3 linked regions of the Drosophila melanogaster genome follow. Changing the gene in region 3 together with the main gene of any one other region gives a genetic interaction. Each region holds a gene or a part of one and is shown on either strand. Other genes may lie near its edges. The genes, in order: beat-Ia, sax and frac.

What was found.
Region 1: of frac (region 3) and beat-Ia, changing one suppresses a phenotype caused by changing the other (phenotypic suppression), as found in Drosophila melanogaster (one study listed by BioGRID).
Region 2: of frac (region 3) and sax, changing one suppresses a phenotype caused by changing the other (phenotypic suppression), as found in Drosophila melanogaster (one study listed by BioGRID).

The regions. Positions count from the first base shown.
Region 1 is NT_033779.5:16,047,967-16,053,008, forward strand, and holds the start of beat-Ia (beaten path Ia), read left to right. Parts: upstream 1-1,998; 5' UTR 1,999-2,744; intron 2,745-5,042. Other genes in the region: BicC (bicaudal C), read left to right, coding at 1-239.
Region 2 is NT_033778.4:7,804,506-7,810,634, forward strand, and holds sax (saxophone), read left to right. Parts: upstream 1-1,978; 5' UTR 1,979-2,032; coding exon 2,033-2,093; exon of another isoform or gene 2,094-2,507; intron 2,508-2,566; coding exon 2,567-2,696; intron 2,697-2,810; coding exon 2,811-2,846; intron 2,847-3,063; coding exon 3,064-3,139; intron 3,140-3,202; coding exon 3,203-3,861; intron 3,862-4,004; coding exon 4,005-4,415; intron 4,416-4,476; coding exon 4,477-4,702; intron 4,703-4,764; coding exon 4,765-4,914; 3' UTR 4,915-5,562; downstream 5,563-6,129. Other genes in the region: Nop17l (Nop17 like), read right to left, coding at 1-231; TTLL12 (tubulin tyrosine ligase-like 12), read right to left, coding at 5,601-6,129.
Region 3 is NT_037436.4:7,561,021-7,568,722, reverse strand, and holds the start of frac (faulty attraction), read right to left. Parts: upstream 6,114-7,702; 5' UTR 6,031-6,113; exon of another isoform or gene 5,715-6,030; 5' UTR 5,645-5,714; coding exon 5,590-5,644; intron 4,556-5,589; coding exon 3,737-4,555; intron 3,675-3,736; coding exon 3,552-3,674; intron 3,484-3,551; coding exon 970-3,483; intron 902-969; coding exon 1-901.

The sequences.
Region 1 (5,042 bases), on a different chromosome or scaffold from region 3:
TTCTAAACGAAATCGACCTGGAGGTGTTCACCACCCTGACCGAGGAAAACCTGATGGAGCTGGGTATCGCGGCGTTTGGAGCTCGCAAGAAGCTGCTGACGGCCATTCACACGCTGCTGGCCAACGAGGCGGCCTGCAGCACAATGCCCAGCAGCAGCTCCTCGCAGAACTCCTCGTCGCCGCGATTCTCCGGAAGTGCGGCCCCAGGCGCAGAGCGCCGTCCCTCCAACCAGTGGTGATCCGCTCCTGTCGTTCGACCCCATTGCCTCGAATTCTTTTTTTCTTTTTTTTTTTGCATGCCCATTTATTTGGTAGTCGTAAGATCAAGAGAATCGGAACGGTAAAAAGTATAGGAAGAAGTCAGGAAGAAAATGGCAACTCCCTGGGCGAATAGCTTTCCCGCACAACACAGCCTTGACCTTGACTTATACTCGCATTTGTACTCAAATTCCAAGTAGCATAGCTGCGCTCGGGAAAGTGCACAGTTTTCCCAGTGTGCCAATAGGTCGTAGTTGCCTTTATTTTAAGCGATTAATTTATTTTGAAATTATTTATATAGGAAACCGTCTTAAGCAAAAAAAAAAAATATTGTGAATTATTTATGAAATCTAACTAAACGAAATCACTTGTTGTAAGAAATGAATTTATGTAAACTAACTGAAAAAGAAAAAAAAATTAAAAACAAAAGCACAGCATGTATTAAGTGATAAGCAAAATAGTCACGCACAAACATTTGATATGAATAAATTGATGTCTATGAAAAATCAACTAAATATATTTTTTAGTAGATTATTAGATTAATATGATTTGCTTAATTTTGTAGAAACATTTGTAATATATGTACATTAAGTCGTTGCCGCTTTGAACTCTTTTAGCCTGGTTGGAATAGAGGTTAATGACTTTATTGTCTCCAGTTGTCTGCATAATTTGTATTGCCTCGCCTCGTGCCAAGAAGTCTTGCAAAGCAACAAAATCGAATGTGTGTCCTTACACGAACTAAACGGGCGGCAAAAGGGGCGTGGCTGAGCTAATGAACTGGAAATGTTTTGCTCCAGTTGCCGGTGGTTGCTACCGTGTTGCATCAGCATAATTGCAAATTTTTATGATTATGACACTTTGGGCGCAAAGTGCCTTTGCCAATGGCAACTAATTTCTGCAGCCATCTCAGTCCCAGTCTGGTGGTCATCTACATGGGGCTATGCTCCACTTAAGTACTTCGAGTGGGCTTTTGCGGGACATTTTGGCAAGCGGCTTGATTTACAATTATGCTGGATTTGAATTTGGATCCCAAGTGGAGTCACTGACCAGCCCGAGAGTCGCCAGTTTCGGCCTCCATTCGTCAATGCTGGTCCCATTTTAAGTAGAGGAAGTGTTGTGTAATGGGAGGACATAGTTAAGTGGCCATAAGTATAATTTGAGTATGTGTTTCCTCGGCCTTTCAAAAACAGTAGGAAAATATATATATTTTTATAAATTTCTTTCGAAAGAAGTTGAAAATTGAATTAACCACGTTAAATTTACTTTCCATATACTTTTTCCGTACACTCAGACAGGAAGAAGTATTTCTAAAATATATGCTTATTTAAGCATACTTACCTTCCGAAGTCTTGTAATTAAACTCTAACATGTATTTAAAAAATTTAAAGTAAATTTAAAATTTAAAAATTTATTAAATTTAAAAATAATGTTACAATTGGTTTTTTTATATTGTACACAGTAAGTTGCCGTTTAAAGTGGCAGTCGTGGTGAGTACAATCAAGCAGTCAAAACGAAGCAGTTCTCTTAGGCAAAGCAGTGGGAAGGGGAAATCAAGCAGTGGAAGGGGAACCAAGCAGAGTTAGCAATAGAAGCATTTATGGATAAGAAACCCACCACACGGGTGCTCTCTCTCTCTCTCTCCTCGCTTTTCCATTCGTGATTTTCCGATGAAGGACGTCGGATTCTCCGAACCATCTTCGTTGGCCATTCGCCAATTGGGAAATCTGTGCACAGGACTCGCAGTGTCGCGAATCCTTCGACTCCTGCTGCAGTTTACATTGCGTTGTCCGTGCGTAAGGACGTGCGTAGATCATCATTTCAATTTTCGCAGTATTACGAGCATCGGAAATAACAGAAAAAATTGTTTAAAAAAAAATGGTTGAACTGCACTGAAACCGCAGGACTGAACCCAATTTTTGCTGTGGCGTGCGTGTGTGCGAGATGCAGTTTTTGTGTTTCTGACATAGCATTTACCAAAACAGAAGGCGGAAAATAGGGAAAAGGATCCGACGAAGGATCTGCGATAGTCCCAAACTGTGTGTGTGTGGGTAAGGCTGTTGCTTCGTCGCCACCAGTGCATGTGTGTGTGTGAGTGCGAGTGTGTTTGTGCAGTCACGTGTTCTAAGGTGATTTTAACGAGCTCCGTGATACGCGAAATGAGATAAGGAACGAGGAAGCAGCAGAATCGGGAGGAGTGAACGGCTTAGGCGGGCACAAAAAGGAGCAACAAGAAGCCACGCAGCCAAAGCCAACAACCAAATCCCCATTCGCCAGGACAGGATACTTGCTCGGTGCGCCTTAAAGGATTCTCTGATAAATCAACCGAAAATTGCATAAAATAAAATTGTTTGCCAAATTGTGCGCAGCGAGAGAACCAAAAAGCAAAAAAAACAAAACCTTATACTCACATGTGAAATATGACTAGCCAGTTGCATTGAAAGTACAAGAAAATAATAAGAGAGAAAATTTACCCAAATAACCTGAAGGTAGGAATACATTATAATCTCTTTGACACAAATTGATGCTTTGGGATATGATGTCAGGAAGGGTATTGGGATATGATTACGAATATTTAGACTCGTATACTAGAAACGCACAAGAGCGTATGTTATTTAAAAGAAAAACAGTTTTTTAACATTTGAAATTTGAAAAACTAATATTTTAATTTTGCTTCACAACAGAGTTGTAGAAAAATAGTTGATAAAGTTTATAATTGAGAATATTATTTGCAAGGGAATGCAAATAACGTTTGAGTAACAGCTCATAAGCCAGTTCAGCGAAAGCATCAACCTTTCACGAACTTTGAAGCATCCTCTGCGCTTCTGTAATTTCATATATCGCAATCTGCGACGTTTAATTTTGATGCACCATGTCCCTGCTCCTGGCAAGGCAATTTGAGGATTCCGGGGGTTTCCTTTCACATCCCAGCCAGCGGAAGATAAGCCGGAAGATGTACAGAAGGGCGTGCCCGTCTCATCCAACAGGCAAACAAAACTTGTCAATTGCCAGGGAGCGTGTCTCCGGGACCTCGGGCTCATCCTTTTTTGGTAAACATTTCCCATAGTTGCTGGGGAACTAGGCAACAATGTCTTGAGCTCAGTCCTAGCTGCTTCGATTTGCCCATTTTTTGTTGATGGAAAATGTCAACTGCCTGGCAGAGTTTTCATCCTCACTTTCGAGCAACCCACTGACTAGGCAAAAATTGTATTTAGTGGGACAATCAATATCGGATGAGGGAGGGGCAGTCAGTTGGGCGGCAGTCAAACATTTATTTGATTGACTGATTGATATGTGAAATGATTTATTGCCGCCGGAGGAGGAGGAGGAGGAGGAGGAGGAAGAGGAAAAGGCGAAGGCGAAGGACGAAGAAAAGTGCTGGCAAGTGTCCACAAACAGCTGAGTCGGAAAAGTTCCGAAACAAAACGAGAAAACCTTTAACCAGCCGAGCAGGAACATTTATTTCCCAGTCTATCTCTGCAGTTTTCCATATCCTGCTCTGTTTTTGCAGTGGAATTTCCACAGCTCTGTAAAAATGGCTCGGACCAAACTTTTTCGCACGCTTTATGGGAGAATAAAGTAAATAATGAAAGCTATTTAGCACAGCCAAGGGGCACATTAAGTCGTCGCCAGCCTTTTCGGATTATCCTGCGACCGGCTTAAAAATAACAATAGGACCAAGCAAACAGATGCACACTGTAAAAAAATAAACTCCGGCAGGATTTTTGAGTTAAAAATAAATAAATCTGTTAAAAGGAGTTATTACACATTTTGACTAACTCTCCTAAAAGTAAAGTGCTTATTTAATGAGAAGGAATATAAAAGGCGTATAAACTTTATGTCATACTTTTCCAGAAATCTACGAAACTTTTGTCATAAGTCATTATTAAAGGGAAATATAAAAATTTTCCGAATTATTTTACTAGCTTATTTTCATCTAGTTTGTCACCCATTACCAAAGTTACAGTATAATGAGCTCCCTTTTGGATTCGTATTATTTTACATGCATAAGCTTAAAAATTTGGCTAACCCAGAGATTATGAATTCCAACCAAAATCAAATCCTTTGAAATAGCACAATGTGTTCACCGAACTTCCTGGCGCTTAGTTCAAATTTTGAATATTGTCATAGATTTTATTCAAATAAAACGGACAGCATAATATTGGCATTGATAAATGGTGTGACAGCTCTTCGTATTATATTTTGGCCGTGTAATATCCGTCGAGAGAGGTAAACTGTGGCCGGCGTTTAATGAGCTGTGTCCTGATCTGAGCCTCGGATGACCGGCGGCTCCTTTCGCCAGTTCGCTGTTGAGCTGGAGAAATTTCAGCCATTTTTTACTGCCACCTGCAACGGTGTCGCATTCTTCTCTCGACCAGGTATTTCTCTTATAGCCTGGATCTTTTATTTTCGTTCTTTTTTAACTATTTGGTGGCGCTGCAAGTGCTGTGGCTTATGAAAAAGAACGCTGAGCGGAGGCACTCCGAAATTCGGGCGAAAATGCGAAAAAGAGGAACCTAACTAGGCGTGGGTGTTAATTAGTTTTTCGGCAAGTGCCCCGAAATTCTGTTTTCTTATTAGTTTTCACTTATTTGTTTAAGCTGATTATGTGCGTGTATACTCAACCAATGAGTTGTGCTAATCCTAAAGGAATTTGCTCGCAAATTTATGGCTTCGTTATCCCACTTGAGCTTTGATCTACAAAAGCTGGTTAAATGGCCAAGGATTTATTCAATTAGTATTGGCATAACTGAATTAGTCTTGGTTTCTGCCTTGCATTTAATATT
Region 2 (6,129 bases), on a different chromosome or scaffold from region 3:
GTGGATGAACCTCACCTCCACGCCACGCTCCTTCTCCAGCTGCGTGATCTCTGACTCGTAGATCTTGCGGTTCTCAGGATCCTGGATCTCATCCACGTAGTCGAAGAAGAGCTTGCGGAACTCCTCCTTGCCAAAGGCCTCCTGGAATCGGTTGAACTCGTCCCTGCTTATATCGAGCCGCTCATCGTCACAAAGTTTGGATTGTTTATTACGCGATCTAGATGCGGACATAGCTTTCTCGCAGGCACACTTCACTCACGGAGGGATCTCTTCGGTCTCCTCTTCTCTCCTCGGCACTTTTACTACACAAATACAAATTTTCTTATCACTTCGACGGGTTTTGATTTTTTGTTTGTTTCTATTTGTTAGGGGTTGCTCAGTTTTGGGCCACGTTTCCTTGGCAAATGCGTTGGGTTTCTATTTCTGGAAGGTTCTGAAAGTACAAATAAACATAGATGTAAGTACGGACAATCTTGTAAGATAATCAGCTATCTTATATTACGAATGTATAACTGCAATAACAACAAGACAAGTCGTTTGGGAAAAATTACTAGTTTTTCTGTTTCGGCTATACATATGTAAGTTCTATGTATACCTGGCTATTTTATAGTTTTGCAAATAAACCTTGAGGGCATGACTAAATCTTGCGGAACCTGGCGAAACTCTGGAAACTTTCCAATCGAATCTGAGATAAGCCAAGTAAGTACCAGGTCCCAAGGTTGCCCTAGGTCCTGACCATTTCGCAGCCAAAAAAAAACACCGAGCTGGCATTTAATCAAATTCTAATCAGCAGATAGGCAAATAAATATTAAATCAATGACGCAGAAAGGTCGCTGTCGAAAATCACCGGCTATCCGCCGGATTTACGGGCATTATGTAAGTAGATACACATGTGTGTAGATGACTACAAACTGACCACGAGTTTTTTTTTTACTTGTCGGCCAATAAATAAATAAACGAACTGCGTAGTTTGTGAAATTCTAGGAGAACGCGTAAATGTTTTCTGTTTTTTTTTTCGAGTTTTGGTGCGATGCTTTCCCGACGAGCGTTTTTATGAGAATGGGAGCGCTACGCCCGAAACGCCGGCAAATATTGGAGGCTCTTTGCGAGTCGAGCGGCCCACAGAGAGAGCGTCCTCTGCGCAGTGAGGGGCTTTTGATAAGCGCGAAAAAAACCACTTGCCCCAATTGTTTTTGTTTAGCGGGATTCTGCCCCCGCAGCCCCTGCGCTCACACACACATTATGCGATTTCTGGCGCAACCCAACTAATTGTACAATAAACGACCACATCTCTACACACATATGTATGTATATACAAAGATAATGTTTGTATTGCGTCTGCCAACTGATATTACAAACTTATGTACATACATATATGTGCAGGAGGGCGGGGGTGGTAATTGGGGGGTCAGTAAGATGATTCCCTACGGCGTGTGTATCTTCTCCATTGCAAGGAAAACGAGGAAAATTATAACAGTTACGTGACTAAAAACACATGTTTGCGCTGTGGGAGGGGGAAAACTCTGTCGTTTGATCGATACTAGCTGAAACCCATTGATTTTCTGGACAAACCGGTCGCAGTGGACATGAAAACCCTAACTAAGCAAATGTTTTGTTATATTCCATGACACCGGGTAGGTAAATCCGTTAATTTCACTCAGGAAAACAACTTAATGGCACGAAAACTCCTCCACTGAAGATCTCCTGCTTCTCCACTTACCTAAATTGAACACAATTATGCTTTGTGAACACAACGGCACTGAATAAAATAATTGTCTGTTAAATGGGCTCCTTTGCCAAAGACTCTTTGATGGGAGTTCGAGTTTGACGTTCTAGAAACTTTTCCGCTGACCGGCTGCTCGTGTTGGTGTGCGTGTTGTGCTTTGGTATTTTTACGCAGGGGATTTGGGAAATTTGAAGACCCGGTATTTTATGTGAAATATGTTATGTGCAGATGTGGGCCCTGGTCACACTGCCCGCTAGAAGTATATCGATAGGTTCCGATAGGCTCGGACAAATAACATTTCTAGCAATGGAGTCCAATATATATTTAGTTTTTCTATTGACGTTTCTGCTGTACAATAATGCCAGAGGTGGGCATCAATTAGTGTTAATCAATTACCAAGTGCTTGGTGAAGAGAGTGCGCAAGAGAAATTTCGATTTTATGGGGTTTTAGAGCCACATATAATGCCTTGAAAAGTCACTGAGTGTTTTGGGTTTGTTTTCATATGCTGCGGTTCTGGCCAATTGCGTTGCGTATTTGGCCAGGCCAAGGCGAAAAAAGTGCCCTCGGAATGCTGATTGGTGAAAGAAGCACCTGATGGATCCCACAGAATGTATTATATAAACGGATGTCGTGGGCGTTTGCAGCATAAGTGCATTTTCTCAATGATTTACCCACGCACACCACCGTTCTGTGTGTGTATACAGAACTTGCTGGGGCGCCTGTGTGCATGTGTGTGTGTGTGTTAGTGCTGGTGGCGTTTGTGTTGGTTGGGCCGTCCATGTGTGTACATATGTATATGCTATGTGCATATGGTTTAATGTGCATTTGTTATGTTTCAGCCGAAATCAGCGATCATCTGCGGGAGGACATACCGGACTTAGACATGGAGCTCTCCTCCGCCTCATCCGCCCATCTCAATGGCAAGGAGCTACCGGCCGTGCCACAGAACTCGGTGCAGACGCATCCCAGGTGATTATATCTTAAGTCTTGAGCCCATAGCTTGTAGCTCCCGCTTCCGCCCAAAGGCTTTGTATTGCTAATCTCATTTCCCTCCTAATTGCCATGCTGCTAATCCTTAATTAGGAGACACATTAAGAGTAAGCGCCGCATGAAGAGAAGGTAAAACCTACACGACTCATGAACTAAAACATCATAAACTGGTTAACTTTTAGTTAAAATTTTGAAAATATTCATAATTTTACTTAAAAAACCCCATTTTTTTTAAATATTTTATAGTATATTATACTTTTATACCCAAATGTTAACAATTAAAAGCTGCCCGTTTGCGTAACCGATTCTTCTTCAATCTTATTAAACTCTCTCTTTTTTTTATCAGATACAAATGCTACTCCTGCGAGCCGCCCTGTCGGGATCCCTATGAGTTTACCCACACCTGCCAGAATGCGATTCAGGTGAATACTCCACCTTAAACTTGATTAAAACTTAAATGTAACTTAATTTCCGAACTTCAACAGTGCTGGAAGTCGCGCACACGCGATGCCGATGGTCAGGTGCAGGAGTCACGCGGCTGCAGCACCTCGCCGGATCAACTGCCCATGATCTGCAGCCAGAACTCCTTGAAGATCAACGGGCCCAGTAAACGCAATACGGGGAAGTTCGTGAATGTGGTCTGCTGTGCCGGTGATTACTGCAATGAGGGAGACTTTCCGGAACTGCTGCCCTTCGACAGCAATGATGTGACGGTGATAACCGCGGATACCAGTAGCATAAGCAAGATGCTCGTCGCCGTTCTGGGTCCTTTTCTGGTCATCGCTCTGCTGGGCGCCGTGACCATCTTCTTCATTCGTCGTAGCCATCGCAAGCGTCTGGCTGCCTCGCGAACCAAACAGGACCCGGAAGCGTATCTGGTCAATGATGAGCTGCTCCGCGCCACCAGCGCCGGGGACAGTACGCTGAGGGAGTATCTGCAGCACTCGGTGACCTCCGGCTCGGGCAGCGGATTGCCGCTGCTAGTGCAGCGTACGCTAGCCAAACAGGTCACCCTGATCGAGTGCATTGGACGAGGCAAATACGGCGAGGTTTGGCGCGGTCACTGGCATGGCGAAAGCATCGCCGTGAAGATATTCTTCAGTCGCGACGAGGAGTCCTGGAAGCGGGAGACAGAGATATATAGGTGAGCAACAGATTATTTGTGACTCTGTAATTTGTAGCTGTAGAAATTTTTAACTGTTTCCCCAGAAGAAAAGTGCCCTAGTCCAGTCATGACTACCTACCTGTTGCTCTATGAATCATAAATAATCGTTCTTTGTTTTTCAGCACCATATTGCTACGACATGAAAATATTCTGGGATTCATCGGCTCTGACATGACGTCGCGGAACTCGTGCACCCAACTTTGGCTGATGACGCACTACTATCCACTGGGCTCGCTCTTTGATCACCTAAACCGTAACGCCCTAAGCCACAACGATATGGTATGGATTTGCCTGTCCATAGCTAATGGGCTGGTACACTTGCACACAGAGATATTCGGCAAGCAAGGCAAGCCAGCTATGGCCCACCGCGATTTGAAGTCAAAGAATATACTGGTCACCTCGAACGGCTCCTGCGTGATAGCCGATTTTGGACTGGCCGTTACCCATTCGCACGTCACAGGACAACTGGACCTGGGCAACAACCCCAAAGTGGGCACCAAGCGCTACATGGCCCCAGAGGTTCTTGATGAAAGGTGTGTGCTTATTGGCAGTACAAAAAAGAATATTTTTACATTAACAATTTGTCTATTGTAGCATTGATTTAGAATGCTTCGAAGCACTACGCCGGACAGATATTTACGCATTTGGACTTGTCCTCTGGGAGGTTTGTCGCCGCACCATTTCTTGCGGCATAGCAGAGGAGTACAAGGTGCCCTTCTACGATGTGGTGCCAATGGATCCCAGCTTCGAGGATATGCGCAAGGTGGTCTGCATCGACAACTACAGGCCCTCCATTCCCAATCGCTGGAGCTCGGATTCGGTAAGTCGCTTTCGATTGCCATTCTCTAGATCTTTGATCTCATTGTTGTTCTCATTTTTTAGTTAATGACTGGCATGTCCAAGCTCATGAAGGAGTGCTGGCACCAAAACCCCGACGTGCGCTTGCCAGCGCTGCGCATCAAAAAGACTATACATAAGCTGGCTTCCGCTGACGAGAAGATACGCCTGGACTTCGACGAGGTCTGCGTTTAGTGGTAGTAGTCGAGCCTTAGCTGTAAGCGGTAATTTAGTTGTACCACATAGGTAGTCTAAGATTCATTCATTGACATACCCTGCATTTCACACTATTAGTTCGTAGGTATATTATTCAAAGCTAAGCCAAGATCCTGCGTGTTGAAGCAAACTAATCCAAGTACAAGACCCTTGGGAGCTTATAGTTATATAGAAGACTTTAACATATTTACTTTATGTTTGGATTGACTTTATCGTTTCCGTTCCACCGTGAGCCTAGCCTGAAAAGGGTGCCTTTGAAATTGCCTTAAGTTAAAGTTAGCATCGACTCTAATGTATGTTCTTGGGATATCATCCTGTAAAGTTGTCATTTCACTATTTACCATTATTCATTGTTCATCAAGTGCCATTTGCAATTGAGAATTGTAAACGCCTTAACTTTAAGCTCACTCTTTGAACTTTACACTAAATTCATAACTCTAGAACTTGTCCATGCTATGATAAAACCATAAGCCACACCACCAACTGACTTGCTATCTTAGTTAGTTAAGCCTTTAGGACTTAGATACCCACGCATAGAAGCATACACACCTACTTGTATATTGTACAAATGGCAAGCTATTTAAGTTTTGTATAGTCTAAACGAAATGAAATACACGAATAGGCATTAAACTTTGGGATAACTGGGTTTATTTGCTCGGTTAATGTCAATTGTCTGGCGTCAGTACCCGGAAGCTATCGTCGTTTTCTTCGTCTAGGAAGAGCAGACGGAAGATGTCGTTGAAGAAGTCGGGATAGTAGTCGCATGCGCGTTTGCAGTCCGGAGTCCAGTTGATTTCCAGCAACTGGGGCTCCATCAACTTCTCCTTATCGTCCTTCCACCGCAGCATGATGTCGGCTGCGTAAAGAGCTCGTGATTGGGCACAAGGAGCCAGGCCGCAGGGTGGATCTGCTTGACTGGCGCACTGAAGCACCTCGAGCAGCATGCTACAGATCTGCTGCTCCAGAGCCGACCAATCGTTATCCGGATACTGTTCCTGCCAGAGCGTCAGGAAGTCGTCGCACTTGACGTGATGCAGCTGCGCCTCCGTCTGGTAGTTCATCACCGTGTAGTGTTTCTCGTAGTCATCGAAGTGATCCAGCGTGAAGGGATGGTTTGCGAAACGCAGGAAGAACTTCCGGTGTATATATGCCTTCAGGGGTTTGACGCTTTTCAACAGGATTACATAGCGAATA
Region 3 (7,702 bases):
GATGGAGGACAATAGTTGGAGGTATCCGAACCCAAATCCACCCGTGTGTTTTCACTAGAAGCAGGAGCAGCACTTATAAGCTTGGATGACTCGTGGAAAAGGGGCTCCAGCCTGAAGAAGGAAGATGACCCAAGTTTCGAGTGCTCTGATGACTCAGAATCTGGGAAAACTTGGAATTTGGTAAAGGAAACTGGTTTTGGAGTTGCATCCAGGGCTTTGAATGCAGGAAATGAGAATGAACTACCAGTGGACAAAGTCGCAAATGGAGCCGGTCTGGGAAGTGATGATCTTGAATAATCAGATATTCGAAACAAAGTAAATGGATTTGATTCTCTAGGTGTTGCAGCCTTAACAGTAATTATTGTGTGACATTTAATTGTGAGCTTGGTCTCCGGATCGTTAACTCTAAAGTCAACCTTATGGACTCCAGCTGGCAGATGACCCTGAAGTTGACCAGCCCAAGCGGGATGGGCGACCAATCGGCCATTCTTAACATTAGTTTGGGGTCTTTGAAGAGTCACATGAGCCTTCTGCTCACCGGCATGCAGTAGGATTACAACATTTTCCGGGCAATTGATATAGGGCCTAATCTGTTCCACATTCTGGATTTGATGAGGAGTCACTGTTTTCGGAGAATTCCACATCGGGGATAATTGATTTCCAAGCAAACCGTTTCCGAATGGCTGACAGTTGAGATCTGCACCGAACGACCAGCCCTGCAGCATCATGCAGGCGGTCAACAAGGATCCGGTGGACACGAAGCCAGCATTGCACTGAAGACGGCAAACGTCACCAAATCGAGATGGACCCTGAGTGCAGCTAGCTGGGAGTATAACTCCATTTTGGGCGGGCTTTAGAGCGGGGCAGATTCCAGGACTCTGTGCACGAGGTTGGTTGATGGCTGCGAAAAGGTACGGAAGAGGTACGGAATGCCAACTGTATAATCTATTACTTAACTTAATGACTCACCAACACACTTGGTTTCGGGCCCCTCCCAAATTCCATTGGCGTCACAGCTTTTGATCTCAGGACCCTGAAGAATATAGCCCGAATTGCATGAAATTCGGCAGCGACTGTAGTAGAAGAGCTTCTGCTTATGGCGATACCTATTGCAGTGGGACTTGCCATTTCGTGGTGCCTGAAATCGAGGGCACAGATCCCTGGGTTGCAACTGATTAACCCACAGACTTTTAGGCACTTCAGGACGCAGGGGAACGGGTGCTTTCGATGTAGGTATGTCAGCAAGGGGCGGAAGCTTTGGAAGACCTTCCCACTTAGGCAAAGATGGAAACTTGGGCTCTGGGTAATCGAACTCAGCTGGTTTCTTGGGATTCTCGGGTATTTCATTGGACAGCTCGGTGAAATCAGGATACTTTGGCGTCTTCAATTCAATTTTGGGCGATTCAGGCAGTGACGAAGCTGTGGGAATCTCCGGCAGAACGGGGAACTTGGGAAACTCGCAGCGGAAGCCTCCAATCTCGTTTATACAGGTTCCAGTGATACAACTAGTCTTGTCTTGGTCACACTCATCGATGTCCTGGCAAGTCTTTTGATCACTATCTAGTTCATAGCCCGGTGGACAGCTGCACTTGAATGAACCCTCGGTATTGGAGCAGCGATGCGAGCAGCCACCGTTCTGCTTCTGGCACTCATCGATGTCCACACACTTGTCGTCCGATCCCAGGGTATAACCCGGATTGCATTCAATTGGAGCACATCCATCCGCGGATCGCTGAGTTCCCGGTGGACAACCCACCAGAGCGGGACTACAGCTACGACCATCGTCGTTGAGTATGTAACCCAAGGGACATCCACACTCAAAGGTACCTGCCTTATTGATGCACTCGTGGCTGCAACCACCGGAAAGAAGGCCGGCACACTCATCCACATCCAGGCAACTTAGCTTGTCCTTGGCCAGCTCATAGCCCCTTTCGCAGGCACAGGCATGGGTACCTAAAAGATTGATGCAGATGTCGCTACAGTTTCCATAGTCCTGCGAGCACTCATCAATGTCGGCGCAACCGAATCCATCTGGAGTTAGCTCGAAACCCGTTTCACAAGCGCAGGCAAATCCCCCAGGTTGATTCAAGCAGAGCTGCGAGCATTGGCCATTGCTATCGAGGCACTCATCAATGTCCTGACAGGTGCGCATATCCTCGGATAGGGCATAGCCCAAGGGACAGGCGCACTGAAAGCCACCAGGCTCGTTCTGGCAAAAGTGGGAGCAATTCCCATTGGCCAGAGAGCACTCATCAATGTCCAAGCATGTATGCGCTGATGGGGTTTCGGATGAGGTTGAATCAGTAATGAATGAGCTGTTTAGTGATGTGACTATGTGGTTATCCAAGCCAAGGGCATATCCCGGTGGACAGAGGCAGGTGTACGAACCATTGAGGTTCTCGCAAAGCATTTGATCACTGCACCCATGAGTTCTCTGCGAGCACTCGTCGATGTCGAAGCAATAGCCGCGTATGCCATCAAGCTTGAGGAGCTCATAGCCGGCGGCACATATACACCCATACGAACCTGGAAGATTTCGGCACACCTGCTGGCAGCCACCGTTATTTACCAGACACTCATCCACGTCCTCGCAACTCTTGCCATCGGCACTTAATCGAAATCCCTCGCGACAGGCGCAAACTCCTCCTCGGGCAGTCAGGCAGATCTGTTCGCATCCGTTGTTGTTCACCTCGCAGAGATTCTCGGCCAAACAGGTGTACTCCTCGACCAGGTTGAGTCCTTCGGGACACTGGCACTGATAACCACCGGGTGTATTCTGGCAAGTGTGACTGCAAAGGTGTGTATCCTCTGCGCACTCATCAATGTCCTGGCAACTGAATGCCTCACTGCGGTAGCCCGTTGGGCAAATGCAACTGAAGCTGGTATTATCCTCACTGGCTAGACAGGTTCCCGGGGAGCACTTTTCAACTCCCTTTTCTGTGGAGCATGGAGATTCTTGCACCAAACAGGAATGCTGATCCTCTGATAGTTCATAACCCTTGGGACACACGCATCGGTAGCTTCCCTCTGGCAAATCCTGGCATTCGTGGGCACATCGAGTGCGATTCAACTGGGGATTCTCCAGATCCGTACAGCTATCCAATGCACAGCTTCGTTGATCTTCGAGCAGGTGGTATCCTTCAACGCAGGTGCAACGGAATGATCCAATAGTGTTCTCGCACTTTTGCTGACAGACTGCGTTATTATCAAGATCCTCAGGACCGTCTACCTCGCACTCATTAATGTCCTGGCAATCAGTGCCGTCGGCGGAAAGTTGAAAGCCAGAATTACATGTTTTTCCGGCGGGTTGTGATTCGGAAACGTTCACTGGGACTTCGTTGGTCTTCTCAATGGGATTCTCCACGACTTCCGTGATCTCGGGATTCTCCTCCAGCGGCTCCACACAGCGATATGAACCTGGCAGATTCTCGCAAGCACCCTGGCAATTCGATGACAGCTCGGGATTCGCACATTCATTAATGTCTGAAAACAAGTATATACCATTTAATGTGAATTTTTTTTCTTTTTAAATATCATTTATTAAAACATACCAACACAACTCTTTCCTGACTCGTCTAAGTAATAACCCTCTTGGCAGCTACATTTATATTCTCCTGGAAGGTTTTCGCAAATTTCCGAACAACCACCATTCGATTCCAGGCATTCGTCGATATCTTCAAAAAGAATAATATTGTCTAGCAAATTCTTTCAATTTAATTATATATAATACACCCACCGAGGCAGCTAGCATAATCGTTAGGATCCAGGGTATAACCCTCTCGACAATCGCACTTATTGATGGGCTGGTTTTCATCTGGATAAAGCAATCGCTTGCAAATGTGCGCACAGCCTCCATTGTCTTCGCCACAATTGTTATCCAAGAATGTTGGCTCATAAGGATCATTGGTGACCTTAACAGATGCATTGCTGGAGTTGAGTACATCAGTTTGGACTTCCGCTTTCAGGGGAGTTTCGTTTTCAAGGACCTCATTTTCAGTTTCAGTCTCCGCTAAAGCAGGTTCTGATTCAACGACTTCATTTGCATGATCATCATTAATTTCGATAACTATTTGTGGTTCAGGCTTGGAATCGGCTCCATCCACTACCGGTGGTGGTGGTGGCGGTGGTGGTTCCCTTTCACTAACCTCTTCATCATCATCCTCATCAATATCACTGTTCTCGACGTAATCGTTGGGCACAGTTTCGTCGGAATAATCTTCCAAATCGTAACCTACTTTCTCGTCGTGTTCTTCAAAATTCAATTGGGGAATGCAGGTGGGTATTTCATCCACCCATTTCTGGTTCGAGCAAAACATTTCTGAGATTCCGTTTTCAAAGTCGTAGTTATCATCGCATACGAAAAAGGCCACTAGGAAGACCTTCTTTCCCCTCCGGCGGCGATCGAAAACGGACACCCTACCATGATTAATCTCCGGCGGAAGGATTTTGGCCGACGAGCAGCTCATGTCCAAAGAAGCAGCCAAGGAGTCAGAAACTTTAGGATCCTCTGGAATATTCATGACATTTTTCCTTTTTCGCTCGGAGCTTGGAGAAGCTAAATGGAAATAGAAATACATTAATTTTTAAGATATAACCAGAAAATTAGCATAAAAGAAACCTGTTGAAATTTATAGGCCTATTTAATAGAAATTCCAGGGATTGGAGACATTAGTTCTAAAAGATTGTGCGATTTTATAACAATAAAGTTGTATGCAGATCAAAAAAAATGAACATGCCCATAACATAAACATAAACGGTTTTCCGTGTTATGCATCCAAAATTATTTAGTGCACTAAAAGATTTCTCACCAGAACTTAAAGGCAATAAAACATTTTATTGTTCGCTCCATACCACAAACAGCTGTTCACAATCACCCAAATATGTTTAAAAAAAAAAGCCCGATTGTATTATCCTAGAATCTTTGCCTTTAAGGGGAATCCCATAAAAACTAGGTGATTCAATCTTTTGAATCGTTGCCAAAAGATATTTCTTTGCCATATAGTCTTCACGGTTTTTTAATTTAATTTGTCATTTTGGGACTTGCTTTGTTTTGATTTACGATCAGTTTTTATATGTTCAGTTTTCATAAAGCCGGCCGGTAATTTGGTGAGTAATATTTCGCTAAAATATATAAGTGCCCCGTGTTAGCCATGACTATTTTGTGTTACACATTTTCCGGAGAACGTGTCATAAAACTATGAATATATGCTCCATTAGCTATAAACCAAACGGTTTTTATGACCATTTTGTGGACATTTTAATGGTCAATATATATACATACATTTCAAAAAAGCAAAATAATCAAAAAAAAAAAATGATTTAATTTAAGGCCTTAAGGCAAATAATTATAATTTCCAATTAAATATTACAATACTCAATAGGTCTGAATTGGAATACATTTTTACATTCTCTATTTAAATCTATTTAAATGATATATTTCGTAATACCCAACCGATTGCCATAATCTAAAGAAGCACAATCCAAACTATAATAATCTTTTACAATCCCCAAAATTCCTTGTAAGCTATCCAATAAATTTCCCATTTCCACAAAATCCGTGAAATATTTTCGATTTCCACCCACACTCACCTGAAGCAAATGCAACGCATGCTAGCGCGCATAAAACATATTTTGCCGCCCACATTCTGCAGCCCTATTTCCGATCCTTATAGAACAGCTGCCACACACCTTTCCACTCTCACTTGTATCGGGTTCTTGGGTTCAAATTTTATAAAAAAGAATACATTAATAAGATTTCACGACATTCGTTTCTTTTTTTTATTTGTTCTCCAACATATTTATGGGAGAAGATCTATATATGTAGCGGCATATAGAGGAGCAAAGCCATTAAGATTAAGGCGGGTTTATAAATAGCACATGTTCAACACTTTTTACATATATTCACAGGTCATTCGTGAAGTAAATGTGTCGGATTTACATCAAACGAAGGCACTTTTTGCAATTAGAGTTCACTGAGAATTTCACTACTTTAATTGATTTAAAACACATAAAAACAGTCTGTATATATACTTCTGTAGTTTAAGGAAAAACCAGGAATAGTATTTTTATTTTGGAAAACGCACCGATTCCGTCGAGAGCCCAGACAAGACTGAGGAGCCAAAGAAATTCTGACTTTTCTCGAAGGGAACGTGAAAACAGTTTTTCGATGTCTCCAAAGATATATATATATATATAAGTTTATGGGTGTATATATGCTGATATTTCATTGATATCATAAAGCAAATTAGTGCGAGAGCGCACAAATGTCACCAGAGGGGGACGCGTAGAGGAAAGCTATTTTTACCCATGGTATTATCATTAGCATTGGGCTGTGATAATTAATGAGGTTCCGTCATCCATTGAACTTGATCGCATTGATCCTTCAGCAGCTGTCAAATGCGGTAGTCTCTAACATAATTTATATTAGCTGGTACTATATAGAATAAATAGTCTGCTCGCTCAGCTACTCTGTAGATTATCACAAATGGTTTTTAATCGTAATTGTAATTGAATACAAAAGGACGTAGTTCGCCTTAAATATAAATAAAGTTTGATACTCGAAGTATTTATATGTCGGACATAATGGATTTACACCCACAACTACCTGTTTCAAATGCAAATACTCATAAAGCATTTTCGGCTCCCACACTCAACAACCGTCTATTCCATCTTTTTCATTTTGACTTTTCTGAATCAAATTTTACTCGTTTATTTACATTTAATATTCTTTTCAACATTTTTATGGAAAGGAAGCTATGTTAAGATGCGTATTAGAGATTAGGGTACCATTAAAAATAACTCATGATTATATTTTTTGATATTCTTTAGTAAATCAAATTGTTTAACTTATAAAAATAACGCGCTTATACAAGGTATGAAATTATTTAAGTATTAAGTATTAGTATTTATTTAAGTATTAAGTACACATAATTTCATAGATTTTTAAAGAGGACCATCAATAAACAAATTGCCCATCTAAGCTCAAGATATTGGCGGAGTGTTAAGAGGTGAAACTTTCGCATGGGGGAGGCCATTACATCACAAGATTGGTCGACTGGGTCTCGAGCACTTTTGCTCTATTGTTGAGCGCATTATTAAGCGCCGCTTAGCTTATGTAATTAATGTCAAGCCAAATGGCAGTGCCAAGAGCCCGAAGTGGAGAGTCTAATGAACCAGCTGCGTGTGCTGATTTATATGCGACTTTTTTAGCTGGTTTGTTTGTACACAAGTATGTTATAGGTCTGTCTATCTGTCCCTCCGTCTGTCTGACTGTTTGTTTGGCCTGGCCAAATTGTGTTTTGTCACCGTCACCATCACGGACGACGTCTCTCGATCGCGCACTTAGGCCTCGTTTATGCGCAGGCTCTGCTCGATACTCCAGTTTCTTGGGCCATGTGAATGTGACATAAGTCGCCGGGTGTACGGCCATGATATATGAATATGACAAAGCGACATGGACAACTTTATTGGCTCATGAAAAGCGCTGTCACTGCTTGACTGACATAAATCGCCGAACGGCAGAAATAGGCATTCAGCGCCACAAGAGCCAATCGATTGCTGCAAAAAAAAAAAAAAAAATTGTCCAAAAAAGTGTTTGGCCAAAATAAATCAAAAATCAATCTTTTCGAAGGGCCCCTCGACGATCATCTCTGTGCGGTGGTGTGGGCCACAGTGAAATCTAGCGCAATCGAGCGATTTGCAT